Linked DNA regions of Callithrix jacchus. The protein of the gene in region 1 binds, or shares a complex with, the protein of each later gene. Links are inferred from orthologs where the notes say so. Each region holds a gene or a part of one and is shown on either strand. Other genes may lie near its edges.

What was found.
Region 2: CORO2A (region 1) and GPS2 share a complex: the UniProt entries of both Homo sapiens proteins name them as parts of the N-Cor repressor complex. The link is inferred for Callithrix jacchus from reciprocal best matches to the Homo sapiens genes CORO2A and GPS2.
Region 3: CORO2A (region 1) and TBL1XR1 share a complex: the UniProt entries of both Homo sapiens proteins name them as parts of the N-Cor repressor complex. The link is inferred for Callithrix jacchus from reciprocal best matches to the Homo sapiens genes CORO2A and TBL1XR1.

The regions. Positions count from the first base shown.
Region 1 is NC_133502.1:146,291,089-146,297,955, forward strand, and holds the start of CORO2A (coronin-2A), read right to left. Parts: upstream 4,509-6,867; 5' UTR 4,278-4,508; coding exon 4,254-4,277; intron 1-4,253.
Region 2 is NC_133506.1:73,796,741-73,803,332, forward strand, and holds GPS2 (G protein pathway suppressor 2), read right to left. Parts: upstream 3,871-6,592; 5' UTR 3,813-3,870; intron 3,614-3,812; 5' UTR 3,560-3,613; coding exon 3,466-3,559; exon of another isoform or gene 3,336-3,465; intron 3,236-3,335; exon of another isoform or gene 3,104-3,235; coding exon 2,994-3,103; intron 2,910-2,993; coding exon 2,797-2,909; intron 2,665-2,796; coding exon 2,585-2,664; intron 2,494-2,584; coding exon 2,411-2,493; intron 2,240-2,410; coding exon 2,086-2,239; intron 1,993-2,085; coding exon 1,903-1,992; intron 1,817-1,902; coding exon 1,737-1,816; intron 1,673-1,736; coding exon 1,555-1,672; intron 1,375-1,554; coding exon 1,241-1,374; 3' UTR 1,195-1,240; downstream 1-1,194. Other genes in the region: EIF5A (eukaryotic translation initiation factor 5A-1), read left to right, coding at 1-14, 110-172; NEURL4 (neuralized-like protein 4), read right to left, coding at 4,584-4,788, 5,612-5,777, 5,866-5,978, 6,188-6,332, 6,470-6,577. UniProt on the Homo sapiens protein: Key regulator of inflammation, lipid metabolism and mitochondrion homeostasis that acts by inhibiting the activity of the ubiquitin-conjugating enzyme UBE2N/Ubc13, thereby inhibiting 'Lys-63'-linked ubiquitination.
Region 3 is NC_133518.1:9,698,665-9,705,373, forward strand, and holds the start of TBL1XR1 (F-box-like/WD repeat-containing protein TBL1XR1), read left to right. Parts: upstream 1-2,834; 5' UTR 2,835-2,939; exon of another isoform or gene 2,940-3,714; intron 3,715-3,728; exon of another isoform or gene 3,729-6,709. Other genes in the region: uncharacterized protein LOC144579870, read left to right, coding at 1,844-2,076. UniProt on the Homo sapiens protein: F-box-like protein involved in the recruitment of the ubiquitin/19S proteasome complex to nuclear receptor-regulated transcription units. Plays an essential role in transcription activation mediated by nuclear receptors.

The DNA.
Region 1 (6,867 bases):
AGCAACACCTAATGGATGTGATGCAGTGGTTCTCAAAGTGTAGCTCCCCATTAACCATATCACTAGGGAACTTTTTAGAGTTGCATATTCTCAAGCTTCCCTTCCCAGACCTACTGAATCAAGCATTCTGGGGGCAGGGCTCACCACTCTTCTTTAAGCAGCCCGCAGGTGACTGATGCATAGCGAAGTTTGAGACTCACTGGTGTAATAGATTGGTGGGGTTGGCAACACCTGAACCCGATGACTAATCTTAGCATCACTAAAAGAGATAACCGGACATTATGTGCTGCTAGTATGAAGCAACAGGAAACCTACTTATAAAGTGGCTTTGACAAGAAATGAAACCCAACATTGACCGAGTCTTTGGATGTAACTACGCACACAGGGTATGGAGAAATGTGTTCAACAGCCACCTGGATGCAATCAGGAAAAAACCCAGGAAATGCTACATGCTATCTGGTTTCTCACATTAACTCAAAATGCATCAAAGACCTAAATGTAAGAGCTAAAACTATAAAAACCTTAGAAGAAGGCTGGGTGCGGTGGTGCATGCCTGTAATCCCAATACTTTGGGAGGCTAAGGCGGGAGGATCATGAGGTCAGGAGTTGAAGACCAGTCTGACCAACATGGTGAAATCCCATCTTTACTAGAAATACAAAAATTAGCTGGGCATAGTGGAATGTGCCTGTAATCCCAGCTACTTAGGAGGCTGATGCAGGAGAATTGCTTGAACCTGGGAGGCAGAGGTTGCAGTGAGCCGAGATCGCGCCATTGCACTCCAGCCTGGGCAACAGAGTGAGACTCCATCTCAAAAAAAAAAAAAAAACAACAACTTAGAAGAAAACAAAGGGCAAAATCTTCACAACATTGGGCTTGGCAGTGATTCCTTGGTTATGACACCAGGAACAGGCAACAACAACAACAAAATACACAAATTATACTCATGGAAATTAAAAACTGGTGTGCATTTAAGGATACTAGCAACAGAGTGAAAAGGCAGCATACGGAATGAGAGAAAATATTTGCAAATCTATCTGATAAGGTGTTAATACTGAGGATATACAAAGAACTCCTACAACTCAACAAGCAAGCAAACAATTCGATTTGAAACAATCTGATTTAGTGCACTGTTGGTAGGAATGTAAAATGGTGCAGTTGCTATGAAAAATAGTACAGCAGTTCATCAAAAATTTAACAGTAGAACGATCATAAGATTCAGCAACTCCACTTCTGGAATATGCAGGCTTAAAGAAATGAAAGCAGGATCTGGAAGGGATATTTGCACACTCATGTTCATAGCAGCATTATTCACAATAGCTTAAATGTGGAATCAACACAAGTGTCCATCCACAGATGAACGGATCAGTGAAATGTGGTATATTCATACCATGGAATATTATTCAACCTTTAAAAGGAAGAAAATTCTACTTTGGGAGGATTAGGTAGATCGCTCGGGTTCAGGAGTTCAAGACCAGCCTGGTTGACACAGCAAGATCTCATCTCTACTAGAAATTAAAAAAAAAATTCACTGGGCATGGTGGTACACACCTGTAGTCCCAGCTACTCCAGAGGTCGAGGTGGGAGGATCCCTGGAACTCAGGAGTTAGAGGCTGCAGTAAGCTATGATGACGCCACTGCACTCCAGTCTGGGCACCTGACAATATTACAGAATTGTTGTCATCAGTGTGACAATAATATTGTGCTTATATTAGACAAGAGTCTTTATCTTTTAGAGACATATGCCTAATATTCACAGATGAAATGGTATAACATCCAGGATTTATTTTAAAATACCTTGGGGCTGTTGAACAGAGGAGGAGAAAATGAGGGAGTAGAGATGAAACAGGCTGCTGATGGTGGGTCGGGGTACATGAGGATTCACTGGAATCTTCTCTTTAATTTTGTATGTGTCTTTAAATTTCCTTTGTACAAGATTTATGCAAGAAAGAAGCAGGAGAGCACAGAGGTGGCCCAGGCTCTGGAGCTTGACTGTCAGGGTTCGAATCTTGGCTGTAAACAGCCCTGTGCAACACAGAACCTCTAGTCCCACAAGACTTCTAAATTAAAGTTAAAATCAAATAAAGTGTAAAATCTAGCTCCTTAGTCACATTAGCAACATTTTAAGAGCTCAAAAGCCACACGTGCTTAATATTCACAGATGAAGCCATATAAGTAATTATAGAGCACGCCCATCACTGAAAAAAGTTGTCGGACAGCACCGCCCTAACATTTCCTCTCTGCCACTCTGGGCAAGTTAATGTGTCTGTTTCCTCACTAGGAGAATCAGGAGCTACAAATACAAATAATAGCTAACACCTATATTGCTGATTAGGTGTTTAGTATATTCTATGTACTAACTCAACCCTCATGCAAATACTATCATCACCCCATTTTTAAGATGAGGAAACAGGGCACAGAGAGGTTATGTAACTTGCCTAAGACCACACAGCTAGTTAGTGGCTGGGCTGGAATCCAGGCCACGCTGTTCAGTCGCAGGTCCACACTCTCACAGGGGTGCCTGGACACTTACATGAGGTGACACTTATACACAGCATGCGGAGTCACACTTGGTGCATACGTAGTGTTCAGCAGACGTTGACTAGTAAGATTGTTGTGGTCCTAATGTGTACAGGACACTGAGATGTGATTTAACACACAACCAGGTATATGCTGGGAGCCCAATATTTTGGGGATCTAAATAAAAATCCCAAACCAGAAAGCATAAAGCAGGCTGCCAGGGTCTGAGTGGCTCGTGAGAGTTCCAACCCCTGGCGCTCACGATGATGATGGGGAACAGACACACACATGCAGAAGGCTAGCTGACAATCCCTGCTGGATGAGAAGAATCCAAGAGAGTGCATTTGTGCTTCTCCAGGCTGGGCTCTCCCGGGTGGATGTCAGAAGGCCCCACCCTGCCCTGGTGCTGAGGGGCCTGGGATGGGGTGGAGGAGCAGGGGAAAAAACCCTTTGCTTCTTCTCCATCAGCACAGCCCAGGCAGGGAAGCAGGAGTGCAGCCATCCAGGGACTCTCACGAGTGAGGGTTGTTGGGGCTCGACCATCAACAAGGGAGGCAGAAGCGGTCTGCAGCCGGCAAACACAAACAGCCCTGTCCTCAGGTCTCCGCCTTCCCCGCCCCTGCGCTGCCCATCATTCTGGTCCAGCACAGATGCCTCCCTGCAGGCCCACAGGAAGTACAGATTGAGTCAGAGAGCGAGCCAAGACAAGGCCTCTTTCTTCCTGATGAGATTAGGCCTGCGGGAGTGCCTCCTCCCTACATCTGACACTGCCCAGAGCCACCGTCCCTGGACTGGCCTCCTCCTCCTGCCCTGCCTCCTCCCCAGCCAGCCCTGCCCCCCACAGCCCCCACCTGCTCTCTACTCCTCTCCCAGGCCATGCCAAGGCCTGAGCAGCCTTCTCTCTTGGGGATTCAGGCCTAGAGTATTCCGACCTCAACTCTGGCCCTGCCCCTTCCCGACGTCTGTTGAAACCCACCCGGGTCCCCTCTGTCCTCAGGATAAAGTCCTCTGCTGGACTTGGGTTTTGAGGTCTCTACATTCCCCCTGCGTCCCTGATCTCCTTCTCATCTCCACAGACCTGTTCTCTAAGCTGAACTGGTCTGTCTGCTTTCCCCTCAAAGCATCACATTTTTCAAAAGAGAAGGGGAGAAGCAAAAAGAAAATAAAGAAGCATCATGTTTTCCCAGATAATCCATCTTTGCTCATGCCCCTTCCCTCCACCTAGAACTACTCCAGCCCAGGTAAGTTGCTGGGTGGCACTTAGCGGGGCTCTTAGGATGCCCCTTCCTCTCACCCCACCTTCCTGGCCCAGCTCCAGCAGAACCACCTCCAGGGAGCCTCCCCGCCTCCCAGACTGAGCAGTCTCTCCATCCCATGCAGTCCCATCCTGACATTTGGGGAGGTAGCCAAGGGCAGGGAAAAAGAAGTCACCAGTTTCAAGCCCTGGACCCCTGTTTGTCTCTGTACCATAGCATTAGAGTACCCTAATATTTTTCTCATAGAATCTAGAAGATTAAATTAGATCATGTACGTAAAAGACTTTGCATGTGTCTGGCACAACGTAGGAGCTCGGCTCATGGAAGTGCCCCTCCCCTCCTCCTTTCCTGCCCACTGTGTTTTTTCCTTCTCTTCCTTCCTCCCCCACCAACACACCCCGAGGACTGTCAACCCCAGATGGTTCTCCCCTTCTGCTGCGCCCATGTACAGCCCTGTGGGGACCCAGGGGGAGGCCCACCTGACTCTCAGCTTGAGCTTCCATTCAAACCAGCAGCTTCTTCCGAATTCCACCTTGGGGTGCTAGGAGCCAACGGGCTGGGCCCATCACTGTCATAGCAGTGTGCTGGTCAGGCTGGAGAATCCCAATTCTTTTTTTTTGCTTTGTTTTTTTCTTTTTTTGAGACAAAGTCTTGCTCTGTCACCCAGGCTGGAGTGCAATGGCGCAATCTTGGCTCACCGCAACCTCTGCCTCCGGGGTTCAAGTGATTCTCCTGCTCAGCCTCCCGAGTAGCTGAGATTACAGGCATGCACCACCACACCCAGCTAATTTTTGTACTTTTAGTAGAGACAGGGTTTCACCATGTTGCCCAGGCTGATCTTGAACTCCTGACCTAAGGTGATCCACCCGCCTCTGCCTCTCAAAGTGCTGAGATTACAGGTATGAGCCACTGAGCCCTGGCCGATAATCCTAATTCTGACACCAATTCACTCCATGACCTTGGGCAAATCTCATCCCCTCTCCCGCTTTCTGTGTTTCTATCCACATGATAGTAACAGCCCTGCCCTGCCCACCTGTTAGGATGATCTGTGAGGGCGCTGCAGCCTGCACACGCCAGACACACTCAGGACCTCGAGGGCGGCAGAGCTTGTCCACCTGTCAGCCGTCCTCAGAAGGCTGGTCTCCTTCCTGCCTAGGCCTTCTGAAGACACAGCAGAGCTTCTTCCTGTTTAACCCCCCAAATCAGGATCTGACAAAACTCCACACAGATTTATTGCCCCACAATCTCCTTATCTGGGAGTTTCGAGCGACAAGGGTCACTGGGGATTTTCCAAGACGCCTCCAGAGGCTGAAAATCTGGGCTCCACTTCCTGCTCACTGTCCACTTTCTGGCACAGAGCTTTCGGGCCTGTCTTTGGACAGAGAAGGACACTGAGGCCCAGAGAGGGAGAAAGCCTTGCTTAGGGTCCCACAGTCAGCCCAAGGCAGGGCTGAAGCTCTGCAACTCTGGTCCTGGGGCGGACATCCAACCAGGGCCCTGCATTCTGTTCTCAGCATGGACCCACAAATCAGCCCTCACTCTGCCTGCCTCAGGGACCGGGGGCCCAGAGTCAGTTCAGCCGACATCATCAGTGCCCACTGTGAGTCTGATGCCATGCTGGGCACTGTAAGGGAGATGCATGATGGACCCAGACAGGGTCAGGGTCAGTTACGGGGGAGCTCAGAGGATGGGGGAGGCCCCCATGTAACCAGCAAGCTCAATTCAGGGTCACCAGGGCTAAGGCCAGCGCCGCAAGTTGCAGCAGGGAGATGGAAATCTGGGGAGTCAGGGTGGGCCTCTGGGACGACACGGTTGAGCTGAGCCTTCAAGGTCAAGTAGAGCAAGCCCAGCAGAGGAGGGAAGGGGAGGCACCTGGGTGGAAGGTGCTGTGCTAGGCCACGCCTGGCCGTGTGTGGTGTGTGGAGATAGAGCTAGGAGCTTTCAGCTCAGCGGGGTGGGGGGGTGGGAGACTTGGTCTAGGCAAATGCAGGCCAGCATTGGGGCTGCGGCTGGAAGAGGGGCTGTGGCGGCAGGGGGATGCTGATGAGATGGCACCTGAGACATTGGGGAGGCATCAAAGTTTGTAACTGGGGGTGTGACACAGAGCCAAAGGAGACTTAGCCCCTGCAATTAGGAAGTTAGGACACTGAGCCTGGGAAACGATTTTCTTTCCTCAACTTTGGGCTGGTATCTAAGGAAGACATAAGTGGGTTTCATTTCAAGTCCAGCTCCAGTGGGCTGGAGAGGTTGCAGAATGCCATGAGGAGGACGGGGAGAGTTCTGAGGCTTTCCGTGCTTGGACTCAGGAGGGTGTGACTGCCCTGGGGCAAGAGTCCCTAGATACCACTGAGGGCCTGCCTTCTCCTGCAGATGCTGGCAGCTCCGCACCCTACTTGTGAGCTCAGCCCAGCACCCCACTTGTGAGCTTGGCCCCACACCCCACTTAGGAGCTTGGCTCCGAACCCCACTTCTGAGCTCGGCCCTGCACCCCACTTGTGAACTCGGCCCCACACCCCACTTCCAAGCTCAGCCCTGCACCCCACTTCCAAGCTTGGCCCCACAGCGGGAAGGGGATGGGAAGTTCTTTTCTGCTACTTTCTCAGCTGCTTGTTAACATGGAGAGAAATGCTTCTGCTCACCCTTCATCAGTCCCCAGCAGGGTCTACAACAGCTGGCAGGAGAGGATGGCCAGGCCCCTCCTCCCTGCCTCCCACCCCCAGGAGCTCCACCGAAATTGTTTGTTCAGGCTGGGCCTGCAGGCCAGGGCAGTCAGGAGGCCAGATTGCCCTTCTCAAATTTCAAGTGCCAGCAGCCAAGGCTTTTGAGGATGCAAAGAGGGCAGGAAAGATGTCGGTGCCCCGGTGGGAAAAGCACTTCCGCCCACAAGGCTGGCTGTGAGGAAGGGTGACAGCATCACATTTAGATGTGTTTGCCTGCCTTGTCACATGCTCAGAGTCACCTGGGGGCTGGAAAACAACAATTCCAGGTGATGGCTTACTCTTCAAACCCAGCATTTTAGGAGGCCTAGGAGGGAGGATCACTTGGGGCCAGGAGTTCCAGATTAATCTGGGCAACATAGCGATTCTGTCTCTA
Region 2 (6,592 bases), on another chromosome or scaffold:
GAGAAGAGATCCTGGTATGGTGCCTCCCTCCCTGCTTTTGTGCTCAGCTTTGCTCTGTACATTTTTTCCTCTGAGCTCAGACATCTGGCTGTCCCTCTTGCTCCTCCAGATCACGGTGCTGTCTGCCATGACAGAGGAGGCAGCTGTTGCAATCAAGGCCATGGCAAAATAACTGGCTCCCTGGTGAGTGTCACAAATCCTTCACTGTCGCCTTTACATTTTGTTGTCCTCACTCAGCAGAGCTGCTCTAGTCTTAATTGCTCCTTTCTGCCCCTAGCTTGGCCCTGTCTTCCCTCTCCTTCCTGTTGAAGGTGTATTATCCTGTCTTACCAATTTCTTTCTCCAACCCAGGGTGGCGGTGGTGGCAGCAGTGATCCTCTGAACCTGCAGAGGCCCCCTCCCCCAGCCTGGCCTGGCTCTGGCCTGGTCCTAGGCTGGACGACTCCTACACAATTTATTTGACGTTTTATTTTGGTTCCCCCCCCCAATCTGTCGGGGAGCCCCTGCCCTTCACCTAGCTCCCTTGGCCAGGAGCAAGCGAAGCCATGGCCTTGGTGAGCTGCCCTCCTCTCCTCCCCTCACACTACAGCTCTGGTGGGGGAGAAGGGGTGGGTGCTGCTTGTGGATTTTTTTTTTTTTTTTTTTTTTTTTTTTTTTTTTTTTTATTCAATCTGGAATCAGAAAGCAGTGGATTCTGGCAAATGGTCCTTATGCCCTCCCCACTCATCCCTGGTCTGGTCCCCTGTTCCCCATGGCCCTTTACCCTAAGCACCATCCCAACAGAATGGGGACCAGCCCCTCCCCTGCCTGCGTCTCTCTCCCCAAACCCCTTTAGATGGGGAGGGAAGAGGAGGAGGGGGAGGGGACTTGCCCCTCCTCAGGCATCTGGGAGGGCCCTGCCCCCATGGGCTTTACCTTTCCCTGCGGGCTCTCTCCCCGATACATTTGTTAAAATCAAACCTGAATAAAACTACAAGTTTAATATGAAGCCCCCAACTCAGCTGCTTATTTCAATTAAATGGGTATATTTGGAACCCACAAAAAGACTGACCTCTGCCACTGAGTTCATTGAAACCCACTATCTGTATCACTTTGACTTGCTGTAGACCTGCCAGCCTAACCCAACCCTTCAAGCAGCCTTGACCTATTCCAGACAGTTGGGTGGGAGGCAACACAAACAGCAGCAGCCAGGGGCAGTGGCAGGTAGATTTTATTGGCCTGGGACACACAGGGGGTACCCTCACCCACAGTAGGATGGGGGGTATGGTGTTGAAGATAATAATCTGATGGTCACTTGTGGTAGAATCGCGGGTTCTGGCTGTGTTGGATGAAGGGGAGCCGAGGGCCAGGTTGGCTGGTAGCTGCAAAGCCCGACTGGCGGTGGTGATGAAAAGAGGGCTTTGTCACTGGGCATACTTTCCCTTCCACTAATACCCTTACTGATAACCACCCCCAAAGAGGAAGGTAAAACCAGATGATGTGGGCCACCTGTCCTACCTAATTCTGCTTTTCTGGGATAGGGATTCTGACAGGTAAGGTTATTACCATTCTTACCTTTCCTGCTGGTTGGATCTGCACAGGGAGCTGGGGGGAAGCAAGGAGTCCAGGGGCTGGATGCAGAGCCTGGGGGTGCATGGGGCGCAGAGAGGACTGCAGAGAACAGAGTCAGGGCCTGACGCATACTGAAGCTCCTCTTAACATATCCTTAACCCTGACCTCCCAAGCGCCATACTCACTGAGTCAGAGAAGCCCGTCTGCTGGTTAGCATGTTCCATCTGCTTTTGCAAGGACAGGGCACCACCAGGCTGGAGGAAACCTAGGTGGGGAGCAGGGGCATGTGAAACAATGAGACAGGGAGGGGAGGACCCAGAGAGCTAGAGGTCCTGCATGGGATGTTATCACCTGTCTGAGTGGGCTGAAAGTGGCCGTGTACCGCATAGGGCTGTGGTTGTGGCTGAGATAGGTACTGCACTGCAGGGAACGCTGAAGGAGCTGAGAAAGAGACACGGCTATTAACCCTTTACTCAATAGCATTCCTCTTTTGACCCTGAGGAAAGCCAAGCCCCCATCCCTCCGACGACTCACCTCTGAGCTGCTGACTAGGACTATAAGCTGGCTGTGTGGGCCCATAGTGAGGTGGGGGCTGAGCAGTCCCATAGGCACCACCAGGACTGCCTTGGAATTGTCCATGCTCTGGTGTCCCCGCAAAAGCAGCTGCTGAGCCCACATAGTGCCGAGTCTAAGGAGGGAGAATGAGAACTCACCTACAAGCTCCATGAAAGCTGAAACTCAGTGACTTGTGTATATCTTTATGCTCTTGTTTCCCCCTAAATTTAAGTGCTTGATATGTCTGTGACTTGAATACTGGTGGCAAGGATATTTGGGACTAGGCATCCAATCCTATTCTTACCGTAAGCACTTGGGGTCCAAACATTTGTTTGGCTCTGTCAGCTGCCATAAGCGTGCCTGGGCGATTGTGTCCTCCAGGGCTCCCTAGAAAGGGAGAAGGGCGGCAGGATGCTGAAATGGTAGGCTGCAACCTCAAAGAAGGCTGGTTCTATCAGGTAGTTTTTTTAATCCTCACCTTGCATGCTGAGGAGATGAGTTCCTGTGTGAACAGTCAGGCTCTGCTGGTATGCAGCTGATGTCAGGGTGGTCAGGTCACTGGAGCGGAAGGAAAACAGATCAAAGTCAAGGACAGACACTCTCTCTTTTGTCGTTAAAACACTGGTTGTCTTACTATCTGATCCCAGTTCCACTTAGCCCCCATTTCGGTTTTTATCACTCTGATCCCACCTTTGTTCCTTTCGCCTCCGTTTTTCTTCCTCATGTAAAACTTTCTTGAGCTGCAGGAAAAGCTGGTGCTTTTCTTCCTGTAGGGCCAAAAGCTTCTCCTGCAACTTCAGAATCTGGTATGGGGTGGGGAGAGAAGATGAAGGCAGGGAGAGTCAAGGGAAGAATTTAGAGCTTGGAGAGATCAAGGGACTGCTTACTTGTTCCTTGGTCTCCTCTAGTGACATTCTCTCTTCCATCTCCTTTTTCTTCCTTCTTTCTTGCTCTTCCTTCATCTTCTGTTCCATCATCTTGTCCACCTCTTCTTCCTCTGGAGAATCACGCAGAATGAGGAAGAGGCAGGGTAGTAAAAATTCCAACGTTACAGATTGAAGACCAGCAAAACCCAGTCATCCCAACACGCCTGTGGGCTCTTTGCCTCGAGGGGACAAGCTCCCCAACGCTGCAATAGGGAATGGAATGGAGAGACTTTATCAGGTGCTCTCCAAGGTCCTTCCCAGCTCAAGGGTCCTGGAGAGTGGACTAGGACGCTTAAATCCTACCACAACAGAGCTGTTCGTTCCCTCCTCTGCGCTCGGCAGCGGGCGCGCAGGTTGGCCGGTGGGTTGGGGCCAGCCCTGAGGTACAGGAGCCATTCTGGGCCGTATGCCCTCCGCTATGGCCCCGGCTCACCCTGCCTCTTGCGCTCCCGTTCCATCATAATGTGCCGGTGCAGCGCCCTGGCCATGGCGTTGGAAAGCTTGGGGCGCTCCAGAAGTGCAGGCATGGTGCTGCCGTGGACGCCCGGCTCTGTCTCTCACTGCCAGACCTCAGACGAGACCTACGGAGAGGCGGGCGCTCAGAGGGGCCCGCGCCCGGCTCAGGCGGAAACCCGCTCGCCGCCCCGGTCACGTGTCCCGGGAGCCCGCCACCCGGCCGAGCCCGCAGCCCCCGCTCCAGCACGCGCGCGGGCGGCGCTGGGTCCCCGGCTCGGTGCTGCCGCTCCCTGCCTGGCCAGCCCGGACGCCAACCCTCCTTACCAGCCTTCTCTGCGCTTTTTCCGCGGCTCCGGCGCGCCCTGGACCCTACGTCACATCCGGTGGCCCGACGAGTCCTTCCGGAGTCACGGCGGCGGCCGATCTCACTGATTGGGTGGGAGAAGGCGGAAGCGCGATGCGACGGGTACCCGCGGCGTCCAAACCCCGTCGCCGCACAACTGCCTTGGCATCTTCAGTTCTCTTAATTTCGCGGGCCCGCCTGGCAGTACCCCAGGGGACGCAGGATCCGGAAAGGGGCGCGTGAGAGAGAGGCTGAAGCGGAGGCTCTGAGACGATGTTTATTGGCTCCTTAGAAATCAGAGTCAGTAACAACTGTACAGAGGCCCCCGTCTTCCGTGCGCCCGCCCTTCCCCACTCCCGCCCAGTGGCCCCGGCAAAAGCAGCTTCATGTGGGCACAGGTAGAGACTCCTCTGGGATTCACAGTAACCAGTAACAAAAACTGAAATAAATTAAGTGATGTCGGGGAGGGGAGTAATAGGGAGTTATGTTCCACAAATCAGTGCATGAAGAAGGGTACCAAGGCCTGGAGCTAGGCTCTCGCAGCTCCTCCCCTCAGACGGAGTGCTGGGCGTCTGGACCTGGAGTGTGCCGCTTCCCACCTACATCTGAGAGCCTGCCTACATGCTCCTGAGCGGCCGCCGAGCCCCAGCACCTGCGCATGCCACAGTCACGGGAATGAGGTGGAGGCAGTCGCCACTCGGAGTCCATGGGCCTGAGGCCCGACTGTGCTTGTAGTAGTGGTGTCTCACCCCTCATTCCACCCGTACCAGCAGAGCATAGAGGAGTGTGGCCCCCTTCTCCTTAGTGACCCACTCAAGTTCGGCTGGGCTGAAGTGAGGGTCAGAAGGTTCTCCAAGGGCAGCGGAAGGGGGTCCTGGGGTGTAGGAGCCAGGACGCACACACACCTGGAACGCCACCTGAGCCTGGTGCGTCCGCTGGGATTTGGGGTCCCGGAATCTGTCAGACAAGAAGAAATAGGGGAGTGAAGCCTCTCACCCCATCACCTCTCCCCTTGCAAAGTCTGTTCCAACCACACAAGCCTTGCTTTACCTAGGAAATCCTCTCACCTTTTGGGAACTTCGTTCTAGCTGTTCTTTCTACCTGAAATGCTCTTCCTCCCAAAGCCTGCTCAGCTACCCTTTACTTCCTTCTTCAAGCCTTTGCTCGAATGTCTCCCACCTTCCAGGCTGGAGTGCAGTGGCACAATCTCAGCTCACTGCAACCTCTGTCTCCTGGGCTCAAGTGATGCTCTTGCCTCAGCCTCCCAAGTAGCTGGGACTACAGGCAGGTGGCACCATGCCAGGCTAATTTTTGTATTTTTAGTAGAGATGGGGTTTCACCATATTGGCCAGGCTGGCCTTGAATTCCTGACCTCATGATCTGCCCGCTTTGGCCTCCCAAAGTGCTGGGATTACAGGTGTGAGCCACTGCACCTGGCCTCCCACCTTCTTATGATGCCCACAGCAACAGCACTGCTGTTTCCTTCACCCCACTCTTTGTTTCCGTAGTTCTTACTCAGACCTACTAAATGTTTATTATATGTAAACATTACAGAGAAAAGGCAGAAGTTCCACAAGAGCAAGTTTCCTTTTTTTGCCCACTAGATGAGCATACAAGTGGTATTTGTTCAATAAGTGAAGAAAGGGCTGAGTTGGAGACTGGGCAGCTAGCAAGACAAGATGAGAAAAGGGGACGGTAAATCACGAAGACCCCAGTGACTGCGCTGAGGCCCCTCTCCGTCTGAGGCCCTGGAGATCTCCCCGCCCCTCCCAGTACTCACTGCACTTTGGAGGCCAGGGACTCAGCCCCAGCATATTGAAGGGAGGGGGAAAGCAGCACCGGAGGGGGCTGCTCCTCCCGAGGAGGTGCACAGTTCTCGCCAGGCTCCTCAAACCCTACCCTAGGCTCTCCCTTCAAGGGACGGCAGCTCAAGATGGAGGCAGTACCTGGGAGGAGAACTGGGTTAGGACAGCCCTCTTTATTCCTCCATAGCCCCCGGGCTCAGCCCACCCTTCGAGGGCCTGCTCCCAGTACCTGCTCCCAGCTCCCCTCGGTCCAGCACTCTCCGTACAGCTGCCACATTGCTCCCATGATATGCCATGTGCCATTTCTTGGTTAGTGTCCCAGCCTCCAGGCAGGGATTCACTCTAGGAAGTAGATAAGTGGGGCAGATAGAACAAAGGCCACTGGCTCCCTCATGGAGGAGCTTCACAGGTCTCTTCCTTAAAAAGTTCCTGGCACTTCCTGGCTTTTCCCTAGACCAAAGTTCTATCACTTCTTCCATGCACCCTCTTGGGATCCCCATTTCTCCAGGGAGCAAACAGTAGGTGAAATGCATGACCCTGCCCATATGTACCTGAGGTTGAACCTGCACCAGCCAAAGGGCAGTGCGTATTCCCGGGGAGGCTCCCCTCTGCGCCTGTGGGCCTCGTCTCCTCGCAGCTTCCGGCAAGACTCACAGTAACACAGGCTTCGCTTTGGCGGAGGCATGAAATAATCTTCTGCGGGACAGTGAGTAGCAGGCTTGGTGCTGTGGCTCCCACCCTTGATCTCCAGCACACTGTCACCCTCCAGCTGCTCTCCAAGGCTCTGGGCCTGGCCCTGGGAATGAAGTCAGTTCTGGGGGACTGGAACTCACCAGGAAGCAGGAGGAGTTCTTGGAAGCGAGAGCAAAGGGCATGGTACTCGCAGCTCTTTAGAGGGCTAGCAGCAGGTGGTGGACCCCAGCACACACTCTCCTTGATACCTGAGGGAGCAGAGG
Region 3 (6,709 bases), on another chromosome or scaffold:
TAGAAATCAAAGCGATCAAAATATGATCTTACTTCAAACCCCCTTTGCTGGAGGAATCAAGGCCTTTCCACATTTGGGTGCCTCCCCCTACCTTTGTTTAAAAGTACTCCAGGTCTCTCTTCAATTAGTATGATCCAACAGTGGTGAGCAAAGCACACTTTATTGGAATGAATTTATGGTGCAAGTCCCCAACCTCAATGATCTTCAGGATATTCAAAGGCAGTAATTTACGCACAGAAACATCTTGTCAACTACAGGGATATAAACAAATGCATACATTTTTATTATCATTGTAATGAGGCTCAACTAACACTGAACAACTTTAGGAGGCAGATTGGTGTAGGGTGTAAGAACTTGAGGCTGGAAGGCCTGATCAGAGGGTGTCTCCCCCCTTGTGGAGTAAGGGATAGAGGTCATTTAGGGGAAAGAGAAAGGGTGGGGTGGACAGCTTTGAATATGACTCTTTAAAAACTGGTATGCTTGAGAAATCCTCATTCACTGAAAGTGTGTTTATGGTCACTGCAGTATGGAGAAGACCTGCTTGTGGTGGTACAATATGAAACTTCAAAAACAATCCAAGTAATCCAATAGATATGTTTCACTGGGTGGTTCAACTTAGAGACAGTGTGCTTATTGAAGACAGGATATGATTAGTGATATTCATGTCATTAATCAACAAAAAAAAACAAAAGGAAGCTACAATACTCATCAATTCTGAAATAAAGTCTTTTCAAAGGTGTTAGTTCTGAGGTAAACAAGCCTCAGCTTCAGAATCCAACTGAATTGCAAAACTTGCTTTGCGCTGTTTCCCGGTACACTCTGCACAGTGTTTTGGAAACCTGCAGTTATCTAAATTCCCATCGGGTGACATTGTTTAATCCAACATTCCCTCTTTCATACATGAAAATACCTCTAAGGACACACCACTGATACGCTTTGAACTCCCTTTCTGGTGGTTGGAAGGGAGTTTCCAATCCCACTCCCTTTCCTCTGATGGTTTTCCTGCTCCCTGCCCCACTGTGTCATTCAAGAAGGGCCTCTGGCAGCTCCGCCAAGCAAGGGCTCATGGGGAAAAGAGACATTGACCTTGGCTAAGTAAGCACCTGTCTAATCACTGAACTTATTAGGCCACCGGGAGTCCAGACTGGTGCAAGTTACTTCAATTAATACGTGTGTGTGTGTATACACAGAACTTTAGGCTTCTGATATTGACATGAAAAGATGGTTGCTTTAAAATGATCAGGACACCTATTTAAAATATTGTGATGAAAGTATAAAAACCGTACCCTTCACCTTTAAGAAAGCTGCAAACATTATTTTGCTTTGAAGGCAGTAATAACCGAAATAGCAAAAAGGTTTCAAGTCGTATCTTAACTAAAAGGGTGGCTGCTTCTCCAGTGCTGAGCTTATACAAAGCTGTAAGAAGCACCCCACCCCAGCTTTCTGAAAGTCTTAGAAAGATTACCACCCATTTGCCTCAAAACCTGTGAGGTGCTGCCCTTCTTTAAAAACGACCCTCCCTCAATCATACTGCCACATTGTCACTCATCTAAGTTATACCTTATAAACCGCCTTCCTGTGCTTCACACATGCAAAAAGTACACAGAGTGGATAAACTTCTACTGTGGATGCCGCCGTGGAGGTATATATTTAGTAAACATTTAGTTACATTATTTTATTTTGTGAAATAAGAACTGATCGACCAAACCTTTCAAACAGACCCACCAGATGATAAATACCACCATATGCTTGCTTCGCAGTACATTTGGGCATAAACACTTCAATTTCAGCTTTGTGTTTAGTATCAAAAACCTTTTCTTGTGTGCGTGTGTTTTCTCTCCAGATCCCGTGCTCTGGATCACATTTCGAAAGTCGCTTATTACAGATAAAGCACCTTTCCAGGTACGCTTCGGAAAACCATATGTATTTACGCACACAAAGGTATGCACAGAGATTTTCACAACAAACGTCCTTATGATGCCGCGCCGCGCTCCCGCACATGCTGCCGCGTGTGCGCCCAGCCCCCAGCGCTGCCGGGCCGCCCCCCGGACACGCGGGAGTCCGCGGCCTCCTTAGGAAACTTCGCCGGCGTTTCCACCCCGGCCCCGGCGCGGGCCTCCCCACCCCCACCCGCCCGGGGCCCAGCGGCCCACACCCGAGCACGCCCAGGCCGGCCCGCGGCGGTGGGGTGGGGTGGGGTGGGGGCGGGGCGGGCGGCCGGGTCCCGAGGCGCCTCCGAGCGCCCGCGGGGTTCGCCCGATTTTTAAAAGAATGCGCCGCACACGCCCAGCCCCCAGCGCCGCCGGAGCGGGCAGGGAGGGAGGAGAGCGTCGCCGCCGGAGCCCCCCCCGCCGCGCCGCCGCCTCCCCGCGTCCGCGGCGCCCCTCCCCCGCCGGCCCCTCCCCCGCGCGCCCGCCCGCTCGCCCGCCCGCCCGGCGCAGGCCGCTCGGGTTTGTTTTGCTGCGCGGCCGCCGCCGCCGCCGCCGCCGCCGCCGCGGGCCTCGCGAGCTCATTTGTGCCTGGCTGGTCCCCATTCCTCTCTCCCCAGTGTTGAGTGTCTGAGCCGTTGGCTGCTCCGAACCGTTTGGCTCTTTCCCTTAGTAACAGCTTTTACCTTCTGCCTCAATTCCTCTCCCCGCTCGCGCCCTTCCCCCGCGCGCCGCCTCCCCCCGCCGCCGGCCGCGTGCGCCCCCGCCCCTCCCCCCGCGGCGGGAGCACCTCCGCTCGCCACCTGGGGACCCGCGCCGCGCTCCCCGCCCCCGCCCGCCCGGCGCCCATCCCCCGCGCCCTCCGCTCGCTGGGGTTATAATTGCCTCTCACCCCCCGGAGGGGTTATTTTGGGGGTGGTTGGAGGCGGTGGCGGCGGCGGCGAGGAGGGGAATTTCCTTGTGCCTCCATTCCTGGGAGGGGGGAGCGGCGTTGGAGGCCACCGTTTCCAGGTAAGCGCTGGGGGCCGGACCCCGGAGTGGGGGAGGCCGCGGGCCTGGGCTGGGGGCGCGGGCCGGAGGCGGCCGGGGGCGCTGGGCCGCGGGGGGGATGGGCGCGAGTGGAACATGCATTTTTCAACTTGGCCCTTGGGGGAACTGGGCTTGCGTGGGGGAGGGGAAGGCAGGGAGGGCACTTGGGGCGCCCCCATCCCCCCGTTTTCCTCAGGTTTCTTTGAAATGCTCACGTGCTTGCCCACCCCTGCCCTTTCCTGGTCTCGGGGGATCCTCACCCTAATTATGTTGTCCCCGAAAATGTGCACCTCGGCCTTCTCCCCCGTTCCACCCTTCGTGCATCTACACCCCCTTTTTGTGCGTGTGTGTATGAGGGGGGAGGCTTTCAGGAAAGGATTTGCAGCAAATTGAATCAAGGAGCCATCATGAGGCCGACTCCTTTATAGCCTATTTTTAGCAGAGGAGAAGGAGCTTTTCGGTGCATGCTATTTTGTGAAACCTCGGGCAGCGATGGAAATGCCCCCTCCCCGGGCGCGTCCCCGGCCCGGGAGCGGCGACCCCGGCCGGCGTGCGAGGGGCTGCGGGCGGCTGTTGGGGCCGCGCGTCCGGGGCGGGGGCGCCGGCCGGGGGAGGGGCGCGCGGCCGCCGGGCCTTGCTCCGGGACGTGTTTATTTGTAACTTAGTGCTTTTTATCCTCTCAAGGAGGTATTTGGTGGAGGCTCTTTGAAGTTGGGTTCAGGAGTGTAGAATTAGCAAAGTTATTGCCAGCTTCCTGGTAAGTTTGGGTGGCACAGAGTCACGCTATTTTCTGACAGTGTAAAGGCCACGTTGTGAGGGTGGTTTCTCTGTAACTTCCTCTTTGCAACCGATTTAATTTTTTGAGCAGAAGCAGACTTTTATTTACGTGGAATATTAATCTTAAATGGCAGCTCGAGGGAAGCCATGCATGTGTTAACGTGTTCAGTATTTTTGGAAGTTCTTAAATTGCTGAAACAGGCATCACTTCGCAGTGGCAACCGGGATTAAATTTAGGCTGTGAAAACGGTGTGTTTCATATAAAATTTGGGTTGTGGCTTTTAAAAATGCTCTCTTTGTTAGGTTATCTAAGTGTCTCTAAGATAATTTGATGATTACAAATGAGAAATGTTGGGAGCTAGTTGAAAATTAGGGTGTTCTCAGCGTCTGTAGTTTACTTAAAATCTTGGCCTGTGCAGGCACCGGGGGTGAGGAGTTTTCGTACCTATGTGATTTACAGTTGACTTAGGAAAGTTTGCTATTCACTTTCTTGTTTCGCAAACAGGAACCTTATGCTGATCTAAACAAGCTTGTTAATAAAATGTGGTGGGTGAAAATGACAGGTTATTTTTAGTCTGAATTTTAAGACTGAATGGTTTTTCCATTCCGCACCTCATATAATTAAGTGATCTTCTACCCCCTCCTTTTTTCCTTAAAGGCTCCTTCGCCAGTTTGGGTAGTAATAAGGCCCTCGTGGTGTTTTCATCCACTTACCTGCAACAACTTTGAATAAACGATTCCGATTACACATTGAAGATAAAATGACTGTTTGGGTTTTCCGGTGTGATTCATTTTCATTTTTATTAAAATAAGACCTATGCTACATGGATGTATTTTAGTAATCCTGGCTTCCTGGGATTGTATGTTCTCACAGTTTTAATAAGTTTATAGTCGGGGGAAGTAGGGCAGCTTTGTCTCCCCAAAACATGGTGTATGTTGGGTGGTATCATGGGAATTGATGGCAAGCTTCCCAAATTGTTGCTGAGAGTTCTAGAAATAGTTAGCATTTACCTGTGGGGGAGGGGCTGCAGGAAGAAACTCTGCCTGAGAGCAGTTAGGCCTGATGTGTGATTGGGCTTCTTGCTCGTAAATCCAGGTTTTCTTGTTCGTTTGGAATATGATGTTCTTTTCACCCCTTTCCTGCACTGAGATGTATGTAATCACAATCATTAAAGTCGTAATAACTCCTATTTTTTTTTTTTTTTTGCCGTTTGAGTTGTTAGAATCAGACCTCAGGACAAAATACTAAACTGTATGGGGCATGAGAACACGCCTGGGAAAAGTTTTTCTTACTGTTAAGGAACTTAAAGTGACATGTTAATGGCATAAAAATGGTTGCAAAGCTTACCAAATCAGTTTATAAGATATATATATATTTTTAACATATACCAGCTGTGGTTACTAATGTGGGTGACATTGGTGATAAATGGAGTGGTCCCTTGCAGAGATATTTTTGCGTTAGTTGCTTCAAAGAAGTGTTAAGCATTTTAAAACGTATGTCCAGTAAAAATTGATACTGCGTTCTCAACACCTAATTAAAGGTTTCGCATGATTACCGTGACACCAGCTTCCCGTGTATTAGGAGCCTTTCAAGCCAACATGTAGAAAGGGCCGAAGATAATATAAACATAGGGACTACTGATAAAAGGAAATATGATTAGTAGACCTTTTGAACCTCAACCTGTTGATTAAATCCGTCAGTTCATATATGGCAGCGCAGTATGTATACAACCTTGTCAGATGAGCAGCTGACAAAGGAATCTTCCTTCTACAATTTGTAGCAAGTACTATTATAAAGAATTTCTGACTTGACACATTTTGATGAAGTTGGTTGAAATAATTTGTTGGGTTTGTTGAATTTTGGTGTCATTTATATAAAAAGAACAGAAGAATGTGAATGGTAGGAAGTCAGAGGAGAGATGGCAGAAACATTGGCACTCACTAGAACGTGTGTTTTTCTAGTACATGTGAATTGGACTCATTTCACAAATAGCATTTACAGTATAAGTCACTGAAATGCAAAAAAGGAAAGCAGTGAACATGAGACATTTATACTCTGTGCTCAGACATTCTGGTAGAAGAGAAGGGCCAGGACCCTAAAGCTGTGGAGTAAAGAATTGCTGAGTATCCTTCAGTTTAAGCACCCTCTCCTGCTCTGCCACCAACAGAAACTTAAAGAGAAAAGGCTCAGTGAGAGATCTGATCCTGGAAAGATTTGGCTATTTACCCCTGTGAGATTGGATTCTGTAAAGAGTACAGTTAATTGCCTTGTTACCAGAGAGCCAGAGAGGGAGGGACTAGGTGCTCATAGCTATGCTCTAGGAGGTGTGAGGTGCTTTCTCTGCCATTTATTCCCCAGGCTAATCCTGTGAGGTAGTGTTGGGCTCTTTTTGTAGATGAAACAGAGGTGCAAAAGAAGTTAATTCACTTGTTCAGGGCCACAAAATGATTAAATGAGCACTGGGATTCAAACCTGGGTCTGTCTTAGATGGCTGCATCTGTGGAATTTTCCCAGCTGTTTTGTTAGTCTTGATCTGTGTGGCTTTTCCAAAAACTTGTGTTTTTAATCAAGTTGATGAGGTACAGTTGAGCATCTCCACTAACTGGGTCAAGTGATTGAATGGGTAAAAGAAATTCACAGGACTCAGATCATTGTGCTGAACTCCCTAGCACCATTTACTAAGATGCGGTCTTGCCTGTAATCTCAGCACTCTGGGAGGCTGAGCTGGGCGGATCAGGAGGTCAAGATGTGGAGACCATCCTGGCCAACATAGTGAAACCCGGTCTCTACTAAAAAGACAAAAATTAGGTGGGCCCGGTGGTGTGCGCCCGTGGGCCCGGTGGTGTGCGCCCGTAGGCCCAGCTACTTGGGAGGCTGAGGCAGGAGAATCGCTTGAAGCTGGGAGGCGGAGGTTGCAGTCAGTTGAAACCTAGCCACCACTTCACTCCAGCCTCGGGACAGAGTGAGAATCCAT